3 linked regions of the Caenorhabditis elegans genome follow. The protein of the gene in region 1 purifies or fractionates together with the protein of each later gene. This does not show direct contact. Each region holds a gene or a part of one and is shown on either strand. Other genes may lie near its edges. The genes, in order: sdf-9, Y57A10A.5 and C04E7.3.

Region 1 (8,048 bases):
TTTTCTTCTCATTCTAAATCTTCTCCGTTCAGCTTTTGCAATTTAAAAAAAATTGGTATTTGTGTATTATAACTATTTATTTTTTAAATGAATTAAACTTCCATTTATTCATCAATTTTAATAAAACGTGATGTCCATTTCCCTCTTTAGGCTTAGAAGTGGTTATTTCGAAAGCCTAAAAGTACATCAACTTCACGTTTTCATTCAAAAATTTATTTTTAACAAGTACCATACAGTTAAAAATTGCGAAAAACGCGTGACCTGTAGTTTTCGGACACAATGAAAACAATATTTAAAAGAATACTCAAATTTGAAATCATTAATTATTATCGATTTTTACTCGTTTTTTCTCGAGTTTTTGGTGAGAATTTGAAGCAAAATGCAGAAAATATCGTCTGGTCTTCTGAAAAGGTATGTAATTTTGAGTTTGAATTTCGATCAGATTTTTTAATGGAAGTTTGAAATATGAACATTTTCACAACAATTTCTGAATGTGTTCTTCACAAAAAACTTTCAGATCTTTCATCTCTTCATCCCTCAGATGTACTCACAGCTTCCAATATGCAAATTTGGTGGTCGAAAAAAGCACCAAAAAGCAACGAATTCCTAGTGATGTAAGCATAAGTGGAGGATTTATTTTCTTGAACAACGTTTATTTTCAGCCAGCAAAACTTGGATTCGGTCGCTACTTTTCCGACCATATGATTGATATTGATTGGGATGTGAAAGAGGGATGGATTGCTCCAAAGATCTGCCCATTTCAAAATTTCTCCATTCATCCGGCGGCTAAAGTTCTTCATTATGCGATTGAGATATTTGAAGGCATGAAAGCATATCACGGGGTCGATGGCAAGGTAAAAAGTTTACATTTGATTAGCGCTCCCAGCTGAGTGACTCGCGAAATGCGGGCCTCACGCCGGCCTAATAATAATGATATGCTGGTCTCACGCCGACGCCGCGCGCCGCGCGTCGCTGTGTGTGTGCAATGAAGTAGTTATTTGAAGCAGTGACGCCGTGAGGCTGGCGCGGGCGCCGTTGCGGCAACCTGATGGGAGCCTTAAATTTGATTGTTTTAAAATAAGTTTTTCAGATCCGTCTATTTCGCCCGGAGCTGAATATGGAGCGAATGAGAAGATCTGCTCGTCGTTCCTCGCTCCCAGATTTTGATGCTCGTCAGGCATGTCTACTCATCGATGAACTCATTCGAATCGATGCAGACATTGTTCCGAAAACCGATCAAGCCTCCTTGTACATTCGCCCCATGATGTTTGCAACTGAACAACATATCGGAGTTTCGGAAAGTACACAAGCCAAATGGGCGTGTTTTACATCGATCACTGGTAGTTATTTCAATTATGAGAAAGTACTGTCCTACCAAATTAAAAAACAACACCGTTCTATATTTTGAAGGGTATTCGTCTGTTGGCAGATCCTGAAATGGTACGCTCGTGGAAAGGAGGTGTCGGACAATACAAAATGGGGTGCAACTATGCACCAACTATTTTTGTTGGAAAGTGAGTTAAAGGACCTTTACTAATATTATAATATCATACACTAATTCAGGATGGCTGCGTTGCACGGATGTGATCAAGCTATGTGGCTTTCTGGAGATAATCGCCTGATCACTGAAGCCGGCGCGATGAATGTGTTCATGCTTTGGACAAATGAAGACAATGAATTGGAGCTCATAACTCCACCTACAGATTCTGGTCTTCTTCTTCCCGGGATAACTAGACAGTCTATCGTAGAGTTGGCACAGGAAATGAACCTGATGAAAGTCTCCGAGAAGAACTTCACAATGGCGCAACTGTCACGCGCAGTTCACGAGAAACGAGTTCACGAATTCTTTGTATCAGGTACTGCTGCCAACGTTGGACCAGTCTCTGAAATTGTGTACTGCGATAAAGAACTGGACGTTATGGAGAACTTGCAGATTCCCACATTGAGTAGCAAAATGCAGTTGCACACGAGGTTTGTAATATTTTTGCAAAACATCAACAGTTTTGATAAACTATTTTTCAGACTCAACAAGACGCTTTCTGACATTCACTTTGGGCGTATCGAGAAAAAGGAATGGCAGCATATTGTGGAACTGTAAACTCTTGAACGAAAAACATGATTGAATTATTTTATACAGGACCAAAATTTCATGTTAGCAATTCATATTATTTGGAAAAAAAATTCGCTGATAGTACAAATAAGGAGTACAATAAAAAACCGAGTAAAAAACTCCTGACATGATAGGGAAAATTGGTACATTATACATATAAAAATTATAAATATAGAAATAATAAATGTCGATCAGATTTTTTTTTGAATTTAATTGCAATCAAGTGGTGATGATTTGGCTTTGAATTAAACCACGGGCGGCTGTAAATTTATGTTTTATTATTGCGATCGTATTTTTTCCATAATTGCAGTTTCATGAAATTTTTTTGCATAAAATCTTGATAACAGTTAAATATGAGACTATTTTTCATTAAAGGTTGTGTAGTCAAATTTTTTATTGTTTAATTAGACTCAAAATTGTTTTAAACACAGAATTTCATGACTTGTCAATATCGCAGCGGCTGGAAACTTATCTTTTTTGAAATCATCGTTTAATTTCAAGCATACCAGTTTAACTCGATTTAAATATTTTAAAGTCGATGGAGGAAGAGATTTTAATTTTTTTTTAAACCCAAATCCATCTACTTTAAATTATCTAAATGAAGTTGAAAACCTAAGAAAATTAATTTGTACACCAAAAAAAACGATGATTTCAAAAAACTTAGTTTCCAGCCGCTGCGACATTGACAAGTTGCTCAAATTTTAAATTTTAACTAATATAAAGGAGCTGCCACAACTTTTTTTGAGAGGTTTTCAGAAAGTTTCATCATGAAATTCGGTGTTTTCAGACAATTTTGAGTCTAATAAAGCAACAAAAAATTCGACTACACCACATTTAAACGTTTGCAATTACCATCACGCTACGGAGAAATTTGTTTCTTGAAGACTCATTAAGAAACCATGTTTTCGTGTTGATAAACTTTTCAATTTCCTTGTCCATTGAGCTCCATTTAACAAAGCAACTTTCCGAATAAGCGATTAAAGGTTCTTTAAAATCCTGAAACCTTGGATTTCGTCTAAGAAGATAGTCTAGAACAGCTTCATAAATGAACGAATGGTGCAAAGCCACTGGAACGCAATGAATTCTCATGTGTTTGCACTTCACGATGAGATCCTCCACTGAATACAGATTAGTTTTCTTGCCATCAATCATACGTATGAGAAGATCAATGACAACAAATGCTCCAGCTCGGCTACTTCCTCTTGCACTTTGAATGATTGGAGCAAAAGATGGAGGAGTGTGAATGTACCGGCGCATTGTGGACCTGAAGAGTGCACTTGCTGGATTGATCATATTGAGCGCCCCCGTGTCTGAAACGCCTCATTTAAATAGTTTTGTATTTAATTTCACTAACCTTTCATTACTTTCCGCAAAGCCAAAAAATCTTGCATTATTGGTGTTGTAGTTTCAGTCCATCCAAAGACTGTAAAATGCAGAACTCGGTGAGTTTCTAAAAATAAGTTTATTAGTTCTACCAATGTGCTTAAAAAGGCAGTAGAGTTTTTGGGCATTTTAATTAAATAGACTGGTCCAAAACTACCGAATTTCATACTGAGACTTCTCAAAAAATTTCCAAACTTTGCTAAAATCTAAAATATCGCCCACGTTTCTTTGTTGCAGCTACTGGAATTTAACTTTCCCGATATTATCACACTGTAATCCATATTTTAGTAGTTTATCTCGCGTAAGTTCATTGATTGAGACATATTTTGAGCCCATAGGCATCCAATTTTGATAATTTTTTTGACAAAGAAAAGTGGAGAAAAATTTCAGGTTTTATCAAAATTTGGCTCTTTTTTCCGAAATTTTGACCCGACATAAAACAATTTTGGAAATTTTTTGTGAAGCCTCACTATGAAATTCGATGGTTTGGACCAATTTCAGTATGACTAAGCTAAATACCCACAAACTTTCCTTCCCTTTTAAGGTTTCATACCGTTTCCTTTTCTAAGAATAAAATTCCGGGTGTGAAAGTTTCCCTGATGAATTGCATAACTCTTGCGCTCAACTTGAAGATGCCCATAACTCCATACGTCGCCCTTATCTGGGAAGTACTTGTCGTAATGTTCAAGTTTTTCTTCAACGTTATCCGCGAACTGTATAATCGTCGGAGATCTTTGCTCAAGAACCATCTGCCAAAAAGCGAATACTTTATCTTCCGACGGGATGCCAGTGAGAATATATTTCTGTCCAACATCCGAAAATTCCATCAGTGATGCATTTATATATCCATCCCGATTTAACATTGATGGGGTCAGTCTTACGTTGTATCTGTGCTCTGTACAAAATTTCACATAAGTGGGCAACTGATCTATTATTTGGTGAATTTGGGCATTACTACATATTTTTTACTCGATCAAATTGGTAATATTATTTAAAGGTGGAGCAGCGCCCATGGAGAAAGTTTAATTATTCATTGTAGGGGTCGGAACATGCGAAATTGGATCTCCCGAAAGCTCATATTTTCAAAAATTTGGCAATTTTGCAAAACTTTGACCGGAAATTATAAAAAAATCAAAAAATTTTTGAAGGGTTTTTAAATGATATTTGGTTGTTTTGAATCATTATAAGTGTATTTAGATGAAATCCCAACTGGCGCCCCTTCCCCAGTTGAAGACGGAACCCATTTCTCATTATATTTGTGCTCGGCCAATTTTGAGTAATTTAAAAAGGTAAAACAGTTAATTTAAAAATAATTTAAAAAATAATTTCACAATACATAGATCATCTTAAAACATAAATGTAAACAGTTTTAAAATAAAACTTACGAGGAACAATTTTTACGACTCTATTTCTATTAACAGCTTCCAAACGTGCAGTTACCCTCTCAGAAAGAAGAGGCTGATTGTCGTCCAATTTCTGTAAAACTTTTTACAATCGAACCCACCAATAATTTCAACTCACGTGAACAATGTTGCTTCTGATAGAATATTTTTCCATCAAATAGTTCTTCTCAAATAGTCGCTTGTATATATCTTCAGCTGTGGAGATTTCCTTCATTTTGAAAATAATATATCTAGTCTTAGGGAATCGACGACTATATGTACAGTCCCCGGCCAATCTTTTATTAAATTAAGGGACAAACAATATTCGGGCCCGCCCTGACCTAGACTTGACAGCATCACATTTGGGGAAAATAATTCGACGATATTTTGAAAAACATATCGGAAAAATAATTACGGTATTTGCCATCTGTTACAGTAAATGTTTTTTATAAGAGGAACGATTTTGTAAAAAATCTGTTTTCGGTGGAGTAACACTAGGGATACAGTTAAAATTGTAGTCCCACCTGACAAAATATTGTGAAAATAACAATGTGAAATTTTTTTTTCGACTTCTAAAAGTATAAGACAAAAACTGGCGATTGCCAATTTTTGACCTGATAAACCAATTTGAAAAGGTTTTTGAATAGTACTCCAATGATATTTTTATTGTTTTAAACCTATTTGCATGAGTTGAACTGTTTCCCGCGCCACTTAACATTTAGAAATTTTTCCGAAATTTTCAGAGCTGCTTTTGTCTAAACCACCCGACAAATATATTCTGCGCACTTTCATTTTCTTGTTTCACCACTTCTAATTAGCAGAAATCATTCACCGTTTTTCCCAACTGTTTATGTGGGTGGTGGCTCATAATTTGACCTATTATAAGCACGAGTGCGCACGCGCGCAAGATAGATACAGGCACTTATTTATTGTCAAGAAAACTCTAGTTACTGTTTACAGTCAGTTTGAAATACTATTTAGTGTATAAAACTGGAATTGGATCTTCTGAAGGTGGAGTACCGAAATTGTTATTTTTTATTATATTTAATACGTTTATTTGAACGTAAAAATAAGAGATTTAGGAAATCTGAGAAACATTTTTGAATGACTCCAAATTTTCCGCTGATTCCGAATATCTAACTGTAAGTGAAAAATTCAAAAAAATATCCCCGATGTTATATTTCAGCTTGAAATCGCGAATTTCATTTGTGCACCCATGTGTTTAATCAAACGCCGAATTTTTGCGCCAGAGACGCCATTTGTCGATTTACGAGATTTGTGTAGATTTACGAGATGTTTAAACTTTATTGAATGCTGATTATCGCTTTTCAGCGAGATTCTTTCATTTTCGTCGGTTTTTGCCAAAATGTTTTTTTGAAAATATGTTTTTAAGGTCATTTAAACTTTATATTATCAAAAAACTAACAAAGTTTTCGGTTCTCAGTTGGAAAAATCATGTATTTGGATTTTCCGTCGAGTTGTGACCTAAGAATTGGAAATTTTGTTCTACCTTTAAATGTAAAGTGTGAGTTTGAAATCTTTTCTGACTTGTATAAAATGGTTTTATTTAGGGGAAATCCCAGTTTTCAAAAAAAAACTAACCAACAACTCAGTAAAAAGTTTTCAATCCTTTTTTCCCTAGTAGTCATATGAGTAATTATTTTGAAAATTGTTTGTCATTTTATTCGAGTTGGTATGTATTACAAATATGCACGTATGCACTGCCGTTCACGCTTTTTCCCGCGCACTATAGTAGTACATTCTGATAGTGTGAAAAAGTTGATTTACAATAGAGAAATCGACGAAATATTACGAAACGCAGACTTTTCTGCGCAATTGACTCAGGGCTGACAATAGCAACACCACTTTTGGCTATAAATTTCCTGAAATTAACTGACTTTTAAAGTTAATTTCTTGTTTTGGAATTTGCAATTTTTATTACATAATAATTTTACTTTCGTACAACGTTTTATTTTCTACATCACATAACATGAAATCAATTCTGTGTGCCCTCCACTGCGCACCAGTTGTTTATAAGTTTATAAGCCGGGGGTGCTGCTCGGCAGTTCAATTTTCCAACTAATTTTCATTTTCCCCTACAACGCCTGAAAATTCCGTTTCTTCTTCACAAAACACATGCGCAAACCGCCCGCATGTGTGGCACCTATCCGACTCTCGTCTCTCCCCCTCTCTCTCTCTCTCTCTCTGTCTTGTTCGTTTTTTCTCATTTGGCAGTGTTTTGTTTTGTATATTATGTTGTTTTGTTGTTTGATAAATGTCTTTTTAGTAAGGAAATGAAAGATGGGGGAGGTTGTAACTATACTATACGGGTTTTTAATCAGCCACCTCTTTGTTTGTTGCTGAAATTGGTAGGGTCCTCTACTCGTTTCGTATTGACCCACAGACACTGGTCATCACACATAGTGTTTGTTATTCTCCTTTAAACTGTTTAATTTCTTGTGTTTTTGCTGAAAATTGAGATATCGCATTATATCATACATTATGAGTATCCTAGGCCGTTATAAATTTTTAAGTTAAAAAATACATTATTTAAGTTAATGATAGGCTAAGATTTATAGAAGTAGCACGAAGATCACAATTCATAATTTTCCTATTTTCTATCGCAGTAGAAAAATCCTCGGAGCCCTTGTTTTTATTTTCTTGTGCGCCCCTTTTCTCCATTCCTCATTCTTCCTTCCTTCCTTTTCATCTTTAAAACCTCAAAACTCTTCATCCTAAATACTATCTCGTTTCGGAAATTCCCGTGCTCCCGGGAGCTCCCCGGGAGCACACTCTGTGATGTGAGTGGTCCCTCACGGGGGCAGATAGCTCAGTCGGTAGTGGTGGCCGCTAGCAGTCTGGAGGTCACGAGTTCAAGTCCGTCCTCACCCCCTAGGTTCACCCAGCCTCTATTGGGAAGTGGAGCAATCTACGACTGGATTATCGGCCACAGTCCCCGGCTAGGACGTGGCTTAAATTACAGCCCAGAGGGATCACCACCAGGCAGTGTACCTGAATCCCAGATCCGCAGTGCATAGCACTTGAAGAACGGATCGTCCTTTAATCCTTTTAATCCCCTTTTCTCCATTCCTCATTCTTCCTTCCTTCCTTTTCATCTTTAAAACCTCAAAACTCTTCATCCTAAATACTATCTCGTTTCGGAAATTCCCGTG
Region 2 (7,552 bases), on another chromosome or scaffold:
TCTTCCAAAGCAGCACAAAAACGCCCAACGAACGCCAAACTTTCCGCTGATCTCTCGAATCATTGATATTCGTACAGTTCTCGGTGCATTCTTCTTCGGAGTTAGCCGAAAAATCAAATCAACTGGATCGAATAATTCTACAATGAAGGCCAAAGATTTCCTGGTCACGTTCAAGTACTTCCTTCTCGGATTGGATTTTTCCGAGCTTCTGGAGCTCAGCACAGTGTTCAAGAGAAAATTGACGAGTCAGATATTGCAGAGAAGGTTTATCGAAATTGTGAAAAATGCATTTTAATAATAAGATTATTTTCCAGATTCTCATGTACAGCGACATCCGCCATGCTCTCCAAAACCTACTCTCCACAATTTCTCAATAACTCGAAAATTTCTCATTGTTTTTTTTTTGCAAAACTTCCCAATTTGTTATATTTTTCTGTTATTTTTTCGCTCATAATTGTTATTGCCCCATTTTTTGTTCTGCAAGAAAGTTATGAAAAGTTATGAAATTTCAATTCACAAAATACTTTTTACCAAATTTCTCCCAACTTTGAAATATTCTCATATTCAGGTTAATTTCTACATTGGAGCTGCACAATGGCCTTCATCCACACAAGTTTAACAAGGCTGATGAGATTTGCAGTCGATCAGACGAAGGATATTATTGAGCCATTGATGGTAACGAAGGTTCTCACGGAATTCAGTGAAAGTGAAAATGATGGATTATCGCATTACGCTCATTATGCCAAGTGAGCAGATTCTTCCGGCTTCTCTTTAAAACTTTTGGTTTAGATTTCACAATTATTTAGTACCGAATATGGCGAAACTTGCGGAATACAGTATTGAGGAGCGTGTTCGAGTCATTTTTGGATTCGCTGCAGTAGTTTCCGATGATTTTCTGAAGCAGTAAGAACGTGGACTTTTTTGAATTTCTCGAATGATTGAAATTTCCAGAATTCAAAGAGAAGGCCTTGTTCATCTCGATAAGAAAAAACGAATCTGTAAATTTACTTCGCATAATGGAAAGTGGAAGTTGGAAGGAGATCACAGTCACTCGGCGAGAATGAAAAGGCGGTGGTCAATGAGAGTCCGAGTTGTTGTCGGTCTCCCGAGCTTGATGAATTTTCTTGTTGAAAAAACGAAGGACATCATTGAGCCAATGCTGGCGAGTGCAGCGTTCAGAGAATTCAGTGAAAGCGAAGATGGAGGATTACCGGAACATGCCTATTATAATCAGTGAGAATATTATTTCTGCTTCACTTTAAGATGTTTTGTTTAGTTTTCACAAAAATGTGGCACCGAATATGGCTAAAATTGAGGAATACAGTATCGAGGAGCGTGTTCGAGTCATGTTTGCACTCGCAGGAAGGGTGTCTGCTGATTTTCGGGCACAGTATGAACATGTTCTTTTTTTTAATCCGGATTGTAATTTACAAAATCAGAACAAAAGGACTTGTTGAGCTGGATGATGGAAAACGAATTTCCAAGTTTACCTCAACTGATGGAAAGCTGAAGTTGGAAGGAGATCACAGTGATTCGGCGAGAAGGAAAAGAAGCGCGGCATTTTATCGAAAGACTGATCACCATTGTCGTAGTGCGAACGATTCAAAGCCTAGAAGAAAAAACGGAAGGTTCATTGGTCGATATAGAAAGAATTGTAATTAAACATTAGTTTTTCAGACAATCGGACTCGGAATTCTCTGACAAAAGTGGCAGTGATGAAGATGACGTGGAATCTGCAATTTCGTATGGTAATTCTCCGAAAAGAGCAAGATGTGAAAAGTATATCCTGACACGAATATTTACACAATCTATTCATTTAATTTTCAGATCCGCTGATCCTGAAATGCATGTTTCATCCGGAAGTGACGACGATGAGGTGGAGGATGTCGGAGGGATGGACGAAGAGCCGGTGCTTCTGCCGATTGATTCTGATGAATCTCATATCGGCCATTTGCAAAACGGTGAAGAAATGATGGTAGAAGACGACAATCAACCAATTCCTGAGGATCCTCAATACTCAGCCAATTCGAGCCACCAAGGAAGAAGAATGAGCGGACGTATTCAAGAAAAGTGAACTTATTGTGAATTTACTACTAATTTTATTTTATGCTTTTTTTCAGGCTCTCCGCTTCGATTGCTCAAGAGACTACTGATGCTGCAGTCGCAATTCCTCATGTACCGATTTTGAATCCTCCATTCGAAAGTGACGATGAGGAGGTGAAGTATATTGGAGCAGTGAAGGGACAGCCAAAGCCGGGACCGATTGAATCCGTATTTGATCAAATCAATAATCGAGATCATTTCCAAGGAAATCAAGAATACAGAAATCAGTCAATTTCTGAAAGAAAAGTTGATGTCCCACTATTCGTCGAACATCAACAAATCAGTCTTTCCGCGGAAAATCGAGCCACTTCAGCTGAATGGAAATCCATATTTCTGCATGATTTCCTGAAACAGCTGACACAATTCATTTGTTTTTTCGAATGTTCGGAGCTAGCTGAGATCAAGCGAAATATCAAGGAAGTGATGGCTGATGAGGGAAAAATTTCCTCTTTTCAAAAATTAGAAATCATTGATATTCGTACAGTTCTCGGTGCATTCTTCTTCGGAGTTAGCCGAAAAATCAAATCAACTGGATCGAATAATTCTACAATGAAGGCCAAAGATTTCCTGGTCACGTTCAAGTACTTCCTTCTCGGATTGGATTTTTCCGAGCTTCTGGAGCTCAGCACAGTGTTCAAGAGAAAATTGACGAGTCAGATATTGCAGAGAAGGTTTATCGAATTTGTGAAAAATGCATTTTAAGAATATAATTATTTTCCAGGTTCTCATGTACAGCGACATCCGCCAAGCTCTCCAAAACCTACTCTCCACAATTTCTAAATAACTCGAATAGTTCTCATTGTTTTTTACTGCAAAATTTCTCCATTTTCTACGTTTTTCTGTTATTGTCTCGTTCATAATTGTTATTTATTCTCTCCCTTTTTTGTTCAAGTTATGAAAGAATTTTCGTTTAAAGTCTCAAAATGCTTATTGATTATCTGTGTGTATTTTTCACTCACGAATACTTTTTGGCAAAATTCTCCCAACTTTGAAATATTCTCATATTCAGGTTAATTTCTACATTGGAGCTGCACAATGGCCTTCATCCACACAAGTTTAACAAGGCTGATGAGATTTGCAGTCGATCAGACGAAGGATATTATTGAGCCATTGGTGGTAGCGAAGGTTCTCACAGAATTCAGTGAAAGTGAAAATGATGGATTATCGTGTAACGTCTATTATAATCGGTGAGCACATTCTTCCTGCTTTTCTTTAAGATTTTTCGTTCAGATTTCACGAATATCTGGCGCCGATTATGGCAAAACTTGAGGAATATAGGATCGAGGAGCGAGTTCTAGTCATGTTTGGATTCGCTGCAGAAGTTTCCAATGATTTTCGGACACAGTATGGACTTGCACTTTTTTTTTTGAAAATTCCGATATTTGCTTTACAGAATCAGAACAATAGGAGATGTTGAGTTGGATGACGGAAAACGAATTTGCAAATTTACATCGTATGATGGAAAGTTGAAATTGCAAGGAGATCACAATATTTCTGCAAGACCTAAAAAGCAGTGGCCAATTAGAGTCACTCCTGCCGAACTTACTGGATTTATGAATTATCTCGTTGAAAAGACAAAGGATACCATTGAGCCTGTGGTTGCAACAAAATTATTCAGAGAATTTAGTGAGCTTGAAGGAGAAGGACGAACGGACGGAGTCTATTATAAACGGTGAGAAGAGCATTCCTTCTTCTTTTTAAGACTTTTGATTTAGATTTTACAATCAACTAGCACCGAATATGGCAAAACTTGTGGATTACAGTATTGAGGAACGTCTTCGCGTCATGTTTGGATTCGCTGCGGAAGTTTTCGATGATTTTCTGGCACAGTATGATCAAGCGCTCTTTTTTGAAAATTCCCAACTTTAATTTCCAGAATCAGAACACTGGGAGATGTTGAGCTCGATGAAGGAAAACGAATTTCCAAGTTTACCTCAACTGATGGAAAGCTGAATTTGGAAGGAGATCACAGTCATGCGGCGAGAATGAAGAGAAAATGGGCAGCATATCGAAATGCTTATCGCGGTCGTCGTAGTGCGAAAGATTCAAGGGATACTAGAAGAAAAAGCGGAAGGTTCTTTGTTTGATTTAGAAATAATTGCTATTTAAACATTTATTAAACATTTGGTTTTCAGGAAGTCGGATTCGGAATCCTCTGACAAAAGTGACAGTGACGAGTATTCCACATCTCCGAAAAGAGCACGAGCATCTGAAAGTGACGATGATGAGTATATTGGAGCAGTGAACGAAGATCCAGAACATAGACACTTTGATGATTTCCATATCGATCATTCGCAAAACTATGAAGAAACAATGGTAGATGACGACAATCAACCAATTCCTGAGGATCCTCCATACGAAAGTGACGAGGTGGAAGGCCAGCCAAAACCTGAACCGATTGATTTCGAATTTGATCAAACCAATAATAGAGATGTATCACACAGTTTGAATATTAATAATTTGCGAGAAAATGGAGAAGTCAGCAACAATCCGTCAATTTCTGAAATAAAAGTTGATTTTCCATTCTTCGAACGTCAGCAATTCAGTGTACCCACGAATAATGGAGCCACTTCAGCTGAATCAAGAGCTATTTATATGCATGATTTCCTGAAAGAAGTGATCGAATTCATTTGCTTTCTCGAAAGGACAGAGCTCATTGAGATCAAGAAACAAATCAAAAAATCGATTGGAACGGATGATGATAAGGTAAATAGACATTTCTCATTAAAGAACGAAATTTTGAATATCGATTTTCGATTTTCAGAACCTGCAAATCACTGATATTCGTAAAATGCTGGAGTCATTCTTCTTCGGGATCAGCAGAAAAATCAGATCAGTTTCTTCCTATAACTCGACTTCTTCTGATATGTTGGCGAAGGATTTCCTGCTTAAATTCAAGTTATTTCTTCTCGGATTGGACAATTCAGAGCTTATAGAGCTTCAGCGGAAGGTTCAAGCCGAAATGGATGAGCCGAAATTGGCACAGAAGGTTTTTCGAATCCGTTTAATAAATATGGTTAAAAATGTTTGCAGATTCTTCTGGACAGCGACGTTCGTCAATCTCTCCAAAACCTGCTCTTCAACATTTCTCACTGAACTTTTTTATTTTCTTTTTGTTATATCTGTCCATTTTCTCCCTTTGTTCCATTGTTCTGTTGTTTTTTCGTTGATAATTGTAATTTCCACAATTTCCTGTAGAAAAATATCGTTGATTTGCAATTTTATTTGCTCTTGAAATTTCCCTGTGTTGCATTGTTCTGATACGTTTTTGTTAGTAATTTATTTATTTTTTTTATCGGTTTTTTGTTCTTTTTTTTTCGAAGAAATTTTTTGTTTAAAGTATCGAAATACTAATTAATTAATAATTCACGTGTTGATTTCATTCACGAATACTTCCTTTCTAATTTCTCCCAATATTTAAATATTCTCATATTCAGGTTAATTTCTACTTTGGAGCTGCACAATGGCCCTCATCCACACAAGTTTAACAAGGCTGATGAGATTTGCAGTCGATCAGACGAAGGATATTATTGAGCCATTGGTGGTAGCGAAGGTTCTCACGGAATTCAGTGAAAGTGAAAATGATGGATTATCGCATTACGCTCATTATGCCAAGTGAGCAGATTCTTCCGGCTTCTCTTTAAAACTTTTGGTTTAGATTTCACAATTATTTAGTACCGAATATGGCGAAACTTGCGGAATACAGTATTGAGGAGCGTGTTCGAGTCATTTTTGGATTCGCTGCAGTAGTTTCCGATGATTTTCTGAAGCAGTAAGAACGTGGACTTTTTTGAATTTCTCGAATGATTGAAATTTCCAGAATTCAAAGAGAAGGCCTTGTTCAGCTCGATGAGAAAAATCGAATTTGCAAATTTACTTCTCATGATAAAAGTGGAAGTTGGAAGGAGATCACAGTCCCTCGGCGAGGATCAAAAGGCAGTGGTCAATGAGAGTCCCGAGCTTGATGAATTTGATGAATTTTCTTGTTGAAAAAACGAAGGACATCATTGAGCCAATGCTGGCGAGTGCAGCGTTCAGAGAATTCAGTGAAAGCGAAGATGGAGGATTACCGGAACATGCCTATTATAATCAGTGAGAATATTATTTCTGCTTCACTTTAAGATGTTTTGTTTAGTTTTCACAAAAATGTGGCACCGAGTATGGCTAAACTGGAGAACTACAGCATCGAAGAACGTGTTCGTGTCATGTTTGGATTTGCTGGCGAAGTCACCGATGATTTTCTGAAAGAGTATGAACTTGTTCTTTTTTGAAAATTCGAATATTTGCTTTACAGAATCAGAACAATAGGAGATGTTAAGCTGGATGAGATGAACCGAATTTCCAAGTTTACCTCAACTGATGGAAAGCTGAATTTGGAAGGAGATATTAGTCATTCGGCGAGAAGGAAAAGAAGCGCGGCATTTTATCGAAAGATAGACCACCAATGTAGTAGTACGAATGATTCGAAGTCTACAAGAAATAGCGGAAGGTTCATTGTTCGATATAGGAAGAATGGTTATTAAACGTTGGTTTTTCAGAAAGTCCGACTCGAAATCCTCTGACAAAAGTGGCAGTGACGAGGATGGCGTGGAATCTCCGAAAAAAGCGAGAAGTGAAAAGTATATCCTGACACGAATATTCACACAGTCTATTCATTTAATTTTCAGATCTGCTGATCCTGCAATGCATGCTTCATCCGGAAGTGACGACGATGAGGTGGAGGATGTCGGAGCGGTGGACGAAGAGCCGGTGCTTCTGCCGATTGATGTCGAACGTGATGAAATCGATAGTCAAGATGTGGCAGATAATTCGAGTATTGATCATTCACCGGCACGAGTATCTGAAAGTGACGATGAAGAGTATATTAGAGATGTGAACGAAGAATTTGATGAATTTCACAACAGAGATGTATCACATCACAACTTGCATATCGATCATTTGCAAGCCTACAATCAACCATTTCCTGAGGATCATTCAAACGAAAGTGACAATGAGGTGGTGTATATTGGAGCAGTGGAGGGACAGCCGAAGCCTGAACCGATTGATTTTGATTTTTATCAAATCTATAATAGAGATGTATCGCATAGTTTGAATATCAATAATTTGCGAGAAAATGGAGAAGTCAGCGGCAATTCGTCAATTTCTGAAATAAAAGCTGATGTTCCATTCTTCGAACGGTCTACCAGCGAATAATGAAGACATTTCAGCTGAATCAAAGATCATAAGTTTGCATGACTTCCTGAAATCCCTGATCCAATTCATTTGTTTTCTCGAAAGTTCGGAGCTCACTGAGATCAAGCAGCAAATCAAGGAATCGATTAGAACTGAAGAAGATGAGGTTTACAGTTTAAAAAATACTGATAAAAATAAAAATACTGTAATCTATATTTTCAGAACTTGCAAATCACTGATCTTCGTACAGTCCTCGATGCATTCTTCTTCGGAATCA
Region 3 (7,829 bases), on another chromosome or scaffold:
TGTTTTAAAGCAATTTTCCCACTGGCGCTACTCCACCTTTAACCGGTCGGCTGAAATTTGGTTAATTCCGTTAACTTTATCAGTTTCAGGTTTTTTGTTGATTCAGCAAGTTTTTCACTAATTTTGTGGGTAATCAAGTAAGTAACAACAATTCAATTGGTAACAGAAACAAAAAAACACTGAAAGCAATTAAACAATAAAAATTTGTTTGCAAACAATGCAATTGTGCTCCATTGTGTTAGCCGAATTAGCCGAACGGATATTTCGACTAATTCGCCTGTTAGCCGCCCACCTCTGATCCCCACTGACGACTTTCCATCTTCATAATGAAAATGTAAAGGTGGTGTAAGCAAATTTTTTATTGCTTCATTAGGCTTAAAGTTGCCTGAAAACATCGAATTTTATAATGGAACTTTATATTTTTTTTAAATTATGGCGGATCAAAGAATGACCTACAGTTAGTTAAAAGTTGAAATATGGTCGCTTTGTCAATGTAACAGCGGCTGGAAACTAGTTTTTTTTTTTGAAATCACAGTCTAATTTTGGGTACGTATGTTGATTATTTCACGTTTTCAACTCGATTTAGATTTTTTAAAGCCGATAGACAAAGAGATTTTTTTAAATGTTTTACCATCTCTTCATCCATCGAATTTAAAATATCTAACTTTTAAGTCGACTTGTAAGTCTTGTAAGTCGAGTTGAAAACGCAAAATAATCAACTTCGGCACCAAGAATCCGACGGGGATTTCAAAAAAGTTAGTTTCCAGCCGCGGCGACACTGACAAGTTGATCAAATTTCAAATGTTAACTTATTTTAGGTAATTGTTTGAACCGCGATAACATTTTTTTGAGAAGTTATCAAGAAGCTTCATTATGAAATTTCGTGTTTTCAGACAATTTTGAGTCATTACTTGTATATATATTTCCTGCCCATGGAATAATGAGTAAATGTCGCCATATTTTACGCGCAAAAAGCATTTGCGTCACTTTTTCTCGCATGCTATCTCAAAATGTCAATGGCGAGGGGGCGTTGGAGAAAAGAGACGCAGGCGTCTCCGCAGTTCTCATCAAATCATAGACACGTAAAAAAAAATAGTGTCCGTTTGTTTCAGTGACGTCCCAACGTGGTGAGACCCATTGTGGTGTGACCCATTTTAGCGGGAACTCAAATTGCTTCAGAAAAATTTCGGCGGGAATTCAAATTTCTTCATAAAATTTTGGCGGGAATTCAAATTTCCTCAGAACATTTATTTTTACAAAATCTTACCGTGCAAGTTATAGCATCATACTTATGTTCAAAATGCCACAGAATCTTATCCACTGTCTTTAATGAAGTTTGGGGAACATCATGCCCCATTGTATTCTCGTAATAGCAGTTCACTTCATTTTCTGTTTCTTTCAACTCTGCCAGCAGGGGCTCAATCTTTTTCCACTTTGCTTCTCCCCATTGATAATGGTGAGATGGATTAACTTTCGAAAGATAAGAAATATCGATATTTTTGACTTTCTCCTGATCGTCCACAATTAGCATATTTTCAAGATATGTTGGTGTTGACTTTTCAATTGCCAAGCTGGGCTTTGCCGCGGTTTTAAATTTTATTTCGTGAAGTTCTTGACACTTTTGGTTGATGATTTCCTCTTCTAATAATTTATTAGCTTTAACAAGTGATTTGAATTGATTCCAGACTTTCAAATTTCCGTGTTTACTATATCTTGCATTTCTCAAAAAATCAACTTCATTTCTTTCCATGCTCATCATTTTTTTGGCCAGCTCCCGATTATTTGCAGTTTTCAGTTGGCTTCGTCTCTGGTATCGGTCGTTGTCTCTTTTCAACGCCATTTCAGATCCACTCCACTCCACTGGTTGAAGATTTTCGTTTTGCAATACCAGATCCTCAATCATTGTTCTTAGTCGCACTTGATCTGAGACCTTTTCAAAAGATGTCCCCTCGTTTTTCTTTGATTCCACTTCTTTTTGTTGCCATTTTTTCTTTGCTGAGGGTTCTGCCACTAACGCATCGTCCCTTCGCCTCTCCTTGGTCAATTCTTTCAATTGTTTCACTGCTTGATCTTCACTTAATGATCCTATAGGAACAGTCAGTATTTTTGACTTCTGCTCTTCTTCACGATGTGCAGTTTTACGGGACCTTCTTTTTGTTTCACTTGATTTTTCTTGTTTCTGTTTGTAGGCTTGCGCCCATTCAGTGAGATTCTCGATTTGCTCATTTTCGGAGACTTCTGCTTGGACACGTTCAGCTAAACTTGCTGATAACAACTCATCCTCTGAGATGGAGCATTCTGTTTTTTTAGGTTCTGACAAAGACGTCGGCTTCGAAGCTTTTTTTGGTCCGGAAGTTGTTTCCGGTTTTGGTCGCTTCTGAAAATTTGGCGTATGACTTTTTTACAGGTAGGCAAAACATGAAATCTTCAGGCGCCTGCTACTGCGCTGCATACCGGAAACCCTCGGATTTTTGCCCTAATTATACGACTTTCGTATTGATAAGAACACAGAAAAAAAGTCAAAAACATACAATACGCTAAACACCAAAAAATAGATAATAGAAGATAAGAGCATTTCACTAGTTGCTAGAAAGTATATTTCATAGAAATTTTTTTTTGGAAATTGTTTTTTCACGCGTCCACAATTTTTTTATTGTTTGTATTGTTTTACTGTTAAAGGTGGTGTAGTTGAATTTTTTTATTGCTTTATTAGACTCAAAATTTTCTGAAAACACCGAATTTCATAATGAAACTTTTTGAAAACTTCTCAAAAAGTTATGAAGGCTCAAAAATGGCCTAAAATTAGTTAAAATTTGAAATTAGACTGACTTGTCAATATGATATGTATTCCCCCAAAAAGTTGTTTTTTGATCAACTTGTTCCTTGTTGCCTAGTTCACTTACCTATGCTTTCGTCGTTGAATTTAAAAGACTAATTGTAAGATGAACATGAAATAAGCTACACAGAATACTAAATTTCTAACCTTGATTGTACTTTGTTGAAGTTTTTGAGGATTGCGATACTTTTGTTGACCTTGATAGGTTTGGGTATAACCAATCCAAGGTGGAGCTGCAGCGGCTCGTTTATTCGGAACCGCACTTTCTCTCGGATCTTCCATCATTTTTCTATCATTTTCATTTTGATTCGAAAAAGCATTATATTGTTCCTGAACTTGTTGATTGGGCCCAACTCCTGTATTCAGCGGCCTTGAAACCAGCCCCTCCGGGGACAGAGCATTGGGATCAGGCGGTCCTACTGTGTTGCGAGGCAACGATGCATGTCCTTGCGTACTTCTTGAGCTGTCTCCCGATTCATGTCTTGACAGTGAATTTCTTCCAGGTTGGTTCTTATTTGTATAGCGCACTGGATGCGTAAAATCATGCGATGACATTATGGGAGTATCTGCAGATATTTTGTATGAAAGTTTGTTATTTTGCATTCAAAAACTAGGAATGTTCGCCTATTAATTTCATAAAGATTTTCGTCGACCGCAAAAAAAACTGTGAACTGATTTTTTCAACTTTTCTGTGAGTTTGCATTTTATTTTAAACTAAGCAAAATCAGCACAAGAACTTTAAAGGAAGCTCCAGAAAATTGTTTCCGGGCTAGGATGCCAAAAATTTGTGATGGTAATGTTTGCTCTGAAAACTGTATGAGCAAAACTCAAGTTATGATCAAAAATCTCAAATATTGTTCAAATAAATGAGCATGTTCAATTAGAAAGGCTTGAATTTTGCAATTTTCTAAAGTTTATCTAAAAAAAATGAAATGCAACAAAAAACTCATGACGTGTGACCCAGGGCTGGGAATTTTTTGGTTTTTTTGTTTTTTGTTTTTTGGTTTTTTTGGTATTTTGACGAAAAATCGATTTTTTAGTTTTCTCGGTTTTTTGGGACCAAAAAAACCAAAAAATCCAAAAAACAAATGTTTACCGTGTCTAGTCTCGACTCGAGACTATTCTGTATTAAAATACATTGAAACATGTATTTTAACACAGTTGTGACGTCATAAATGTATTTTAATACATTTTGCAACATTACTTGAATAACGCCATTAAAAATGAACTTAAGCATCAAAAATTTTTTGGTTTTTTTTTGGGTTGGTTTTTTGGGTTTTCCGAAAATTCCAAATTTTTGGTTTTTGGTTTTTTTTTTTGGTCCTAGCCCTGGTGTGACCCTAAATGTTTTGTTACCCTGTTTAATTTTAAGACCAGAATTTTCCAACAAAAAAATACCTACCAGTTTGTGCTGTAAAGTTTGGAATAGCCCGTATATCAGGTGGGTCGTTTACATTCATTTCGACTTACGAATATCTAAAAAAAATATGTTATAATATATAACGCAGAAAAGCAATTAAAAGATCTCTTGCAGTAGAATAACAAACATTGAAAAAGATTGAGTCAAGAAAGAATACCTCGGCATTCAGAGGCAACTTCCTGCCACACTTTGGCAACTTATTTAGTGCCACTAAAATAATTTGCCGAATTGCTGGCAGGAAGTTGCCGAGTTGTTGGCAGGAAGTTGCCACGTAGTGGCAGCAAGTGGGAAAGAACGCTCCTCGGCATTCAGAGGCAACTTTCTGCCAAACTTTGCTTACTTGCAACTTCCCGCCAAACTTTTGCACATTCCTGCCAACATTTAGATGTTGCTGAGCGTTCTTTCCCACTTCCTGCCAACAACTCGGCAACTTCCTGCCAGCAATTCGGCAACTTATTTTAGTGGCACTAAATAAGTTGCCAAAGTGTGGCAGGAAGTTGCCTCTGAATGCCGAGACTACTTAAAAAGCATGTATTTTAATACAGTTGTGACGCCATTAATGGGTTTAAATATGTACATTTTGCAACATTACTTGAATGACTCCATTAGGTTTTTGTGAATTTAAAGGTAGAGTAGCGCCAGTGGGAAAAGTTTTTTGACTACTCTAGTTGGGCCAAAATGCCCACATAACATTTTTTATCAATTTTTTTGGAAATTTATTATTTACTGTCAGAATGTAAGAATTACTCAGCTTTCGCCACTCAAAACTTGGAAGTCGACCGAAAAAAATGTTTTCCAAAATGCACACATTGGATTAGGATTAGTGTTGTTTTAAGCCTAAAAATGCAAATCGATTTCACTTTTTAATTAAATTATCATTTTGAAAGAAAATTGATAAAAAACGTGTTGAAAAAAAAATTGTTGACTAGTTATACTACACAAGTACCAAACAAAATTTTCAAAAAATATTACACAAATCGATGTTTGCAGAAAAATTAAATTTTTAAAGATGTGCTTGCAATCAAAAGATTTTGAACATCATTTGACTAACGGAATGAAGAAAGCATAGAAAACAGTAGAAAAGGAAAAGACCAAGGCGGCGAGACCATAAATTTGCCGGATAGAGAGGACACATCAAGTCGCTTCACCGGCTGCGTCTCCAGCCTTTCAACACGTTTTCTTGCGTTTCTTTGCTTACTGCACTCTCTTTCAGTGTCATATCGATTGCCATTAAACACGAAGAGCGAGCACGTGAACCACTGAAAAATTGACCGTTTGATTTGCAAAATATTTCTATATTAAAAAAAAGCATTTCTGTAAGAGCATTTGCTTCTTTGACGGCGCTGTCAGGCTTTCGTTACTTAACGAACCAACAAGTGTTTTACGTCAGCTAATATGAAAATATTTCAGCTATTAAAAATATGTATATCAAATCCGTGTCTTTCAAGTTGTAGAGCAAGCATAAATAGAGATTTTGTGAGCACAACAACGCTCCCATAATTATGGACCACCCTGTAACCCGTTAAAGGTGGACTACACGCTGTGGGAAAATTACTTTAAAACATGCCTATGGGGTCACAATGACCGAATATGATGATAAATAAATTCGAAAAAAAATCTAGATTTTATATGATTTTTGAAAATTTGAGAAATCTCAGTTTTCACCTAGTTCCTATTTATATTTCCGCCAATTGATTCATTCGAAGGACCGCGCTTGCATTGTTTATTCATTAGTTTTATTTATTATCATTATTCCACTGATTTTCTTCATTTTGTTTATATTTTTTTAAATGAAAATTGAAACGAAAAAAAACAAGATAACTGCAGAATGCTTGTGAAAAGGTAATTGAAAATGCGTAAAACAGTAAAATTATAAGTTTCGACGACAACAAGCATGAAATTAGTATATTTCACAGTTTTATGCACTTTCAATGACTTTTTAGCACACATTCTGCATTTATCTTGTTTTTTTTTCGATTCAATTTCCATTTAAAAAACACAAAAAATGAAGAAAAACAGTGGAATAATGAGAATAAATGAAATCATTACTTATATATTTTTAAAAAAATACAGCTTATTTTTCCTGTCCGTACCGTTTGTTTGTTTGTTTTTGTGACCTCACACCCAACTATACTAAGAACTGTTGGCGGGGTCCGTCTCCCTTCGTGGTCAGGCCCATCGTGGTGAGACCCATCGTGGTGAGACCCATTGTGTCGAGACCCGTCGTGGCGAAACCCATCTAGATGAGACCCATCGTGGTGAGACCCAAAACTTTGGCGGGACATTCAAATTTTCTGAGAAGAAACATTTGGGCGGGAAATTCAAACTTTCTGAGAAAAAATTTTGGCGGGAAATTTAAATTTTCAGAGAAAATATTGTGGCGGGAAATTCAAACTTTCTGAGAAAACTTTTTGGCGGGAAATTCAAATTTTCCGAGAAAAACTTCGCGACAAATTAGGTGAAAACTGAGATTTTTCGAATTTTTAAAAAATCATATAAAATCTAGAAAATTTTTTGGAATTTTTCAATCATGATATTCGGTCATTGTGACCCCATGGGAATTTTAAGCAATTTCTTCACAGAGCGTAGTCCACCTTTAAGTGTTGAACAAAGTTATAGTTTTCAGTTCGAAAACAAGCTGAATATGTGTTTATGATTTCTGATTTGCACTTGATTGTATTCACTTACTTTTCGAAATAAATAATAAATTATTAAGGGTAAATTAGTTTAAAATGAGCAAAGATTAAAAAAATTGTTTCTTTTTCAGAACTCAAAATTATCGTACTTCCTCCAGTTGAAATAAAATCTTCTATATCTATATTTTCAAAATCAAACAAATTGACAGGTTATCTTTGTATTATTGAATTTAAATGTTTTATCTTATTGAACAACAGTTATATTGACGTTATAAGCCGGAAAGGTGAAGGGGAGTTTTTCCAAAAACATTCCTGTAATAATTTCAAAAAATCAATTTGGAGTTGTCCTACTTTTTGGTATTTAATGCATGTGTTCTCGAAGGAAAATATTGGCTAAAATATTTTCTGAAACGTGAGATGTTTTTAATTCATTATTAATGAGAAAAATTACATTAAGTGACAAACATACAACGGTTTCTCCATTCATTGTAGAAATTAATGCAAGTTTCTAATTTTCGAAGCAAGTGAGATCAGCCAAAAGTAGAATACGGAATCATTTTGATTGAAATTGGATGGGATGAACATTGAAATGAACGAAAAACTAAGAGTTTATCTGATAAACTTTACTTTTAATAAAGTATATAGTTAAATGTTGATTTTGAAAATTATACGAAGCATAAGTTTTAATTAAATAATGAAACAGGGCTGGGCGGCAATTGTCGTTCGGCAAATTGATTTGTCGACAAATTCGGCAAATCGGCCAATTGCCGGAAATTTTAATTTTCGGCACATTGCCGATTTGCCGTTTGCCGGGCATCAGATTTGCCGGAAATAATCAAAGGGAGGGCCACTGTTTTGAAGCATAGGTCTCACCACGACAAAACTTACTACTGTAAATTTTAAATTTTTCCCGTTTTAATTTTGTGTTTTTGTATAA

Evidence for each region.
Region 2: the proteins of sdf-9 (region 1) and Y57A10A.5 fractionate together in Caenorhabditis elegans (co-fractionation; one large-scale study listed by BioGRID). This does not show direct contact.
Region 3: the proteins of sdf-9 (region 1) and C04E7.3 fractionate together in Caenorhabditis elegans (co-fractionation; one large-scale study listed by BioGRID). This does not show direct contact.

What each region holds. Positions count from the first base shown.
Region 1 is NC_003283.11:20,795,274-20,803,321, reverse strand, and holds sdf-9 (Protein sdf-9), read right to left. Parts: upstream 5,105-8,048; 5' UTR 5,051-5,104; coding exon 5,015-5,050; intron 4,970-5,014; coding exon 4,879-4,969; intron 4,389-4,878; coding exon 4,047-4,388; intron 3,561-4,046; coding exon 3,465-3,560; intron 3,421-3,464; coding exon 2,963-3,420; intron 2,371-2,962; coding exon 2,356-2,370; 3' UTR 2,115-2,355; downstream 1-2,114. Other genes in the region: Y44A6D.5 (Branched-chain-amino-acid aminotransferase), read left to right, coding at 380-411, 518-614, 663-854, 1,091-1,363, 1,411-1,514, 1,564-1,971, 2,023-2,098. UniProt on the Caenorhabditis elegans protein: Together with eak-4 and phosphatase eak-6, negatively regulates dauer larva formation downstream of insulin-like receptor daf-2 and in parallel of age-1, pdk-1 and akt-1.
Region 2 is NC_003280.10:12,151,374-12,158,925, forward strand, and holds Y57A10A.5 (SPK domain-containing protein), read left to right. Parts: upstream 1-3,112; 5' UTR 3,113-3,138; coding exon 3,139-3,290; intron 3,291-3,333; coding exon 3,334-3,447; intron 3,448-3,496; coding exon 3,497-3,775; intron 3,776-3,818; coding exon 3,819-3,932; intron 3,933-3,979; coding exon 3,980-4,177; intron 4,178-4,238; coding exon 4,239-4,809; intron 4,810-4,867; coding exon 4,868-5,092; intron 5,093-5,136; coding exon 5,137-5,199; 3' UTR 5,200-5,439; downstream 5,440-7,552. Other genes in the region: Y57A10A.4 (SPK domain-containing protein), read left to right, coding at 595-746, 790-903, 952-1,233, 1,277-1,390, 1,440-1,628, 1,678-1,779, 1,828-2,070, 2,121-2,774 and 1 more.
Region 3 is NC_003284.9:342,899-350,727, forward strand, and holds the start of C04E7.3 (uncharacterized protein), read right to left. Parts: upstream 4,320-7,829; 5' UTR 4,297-4,319; coding exon 4,239-4,296; intron 3,403-4,238; coding exon 2,984-3,402; intron 2,378-2,983; coding exon 1,268-2,377; intron 1-1,267.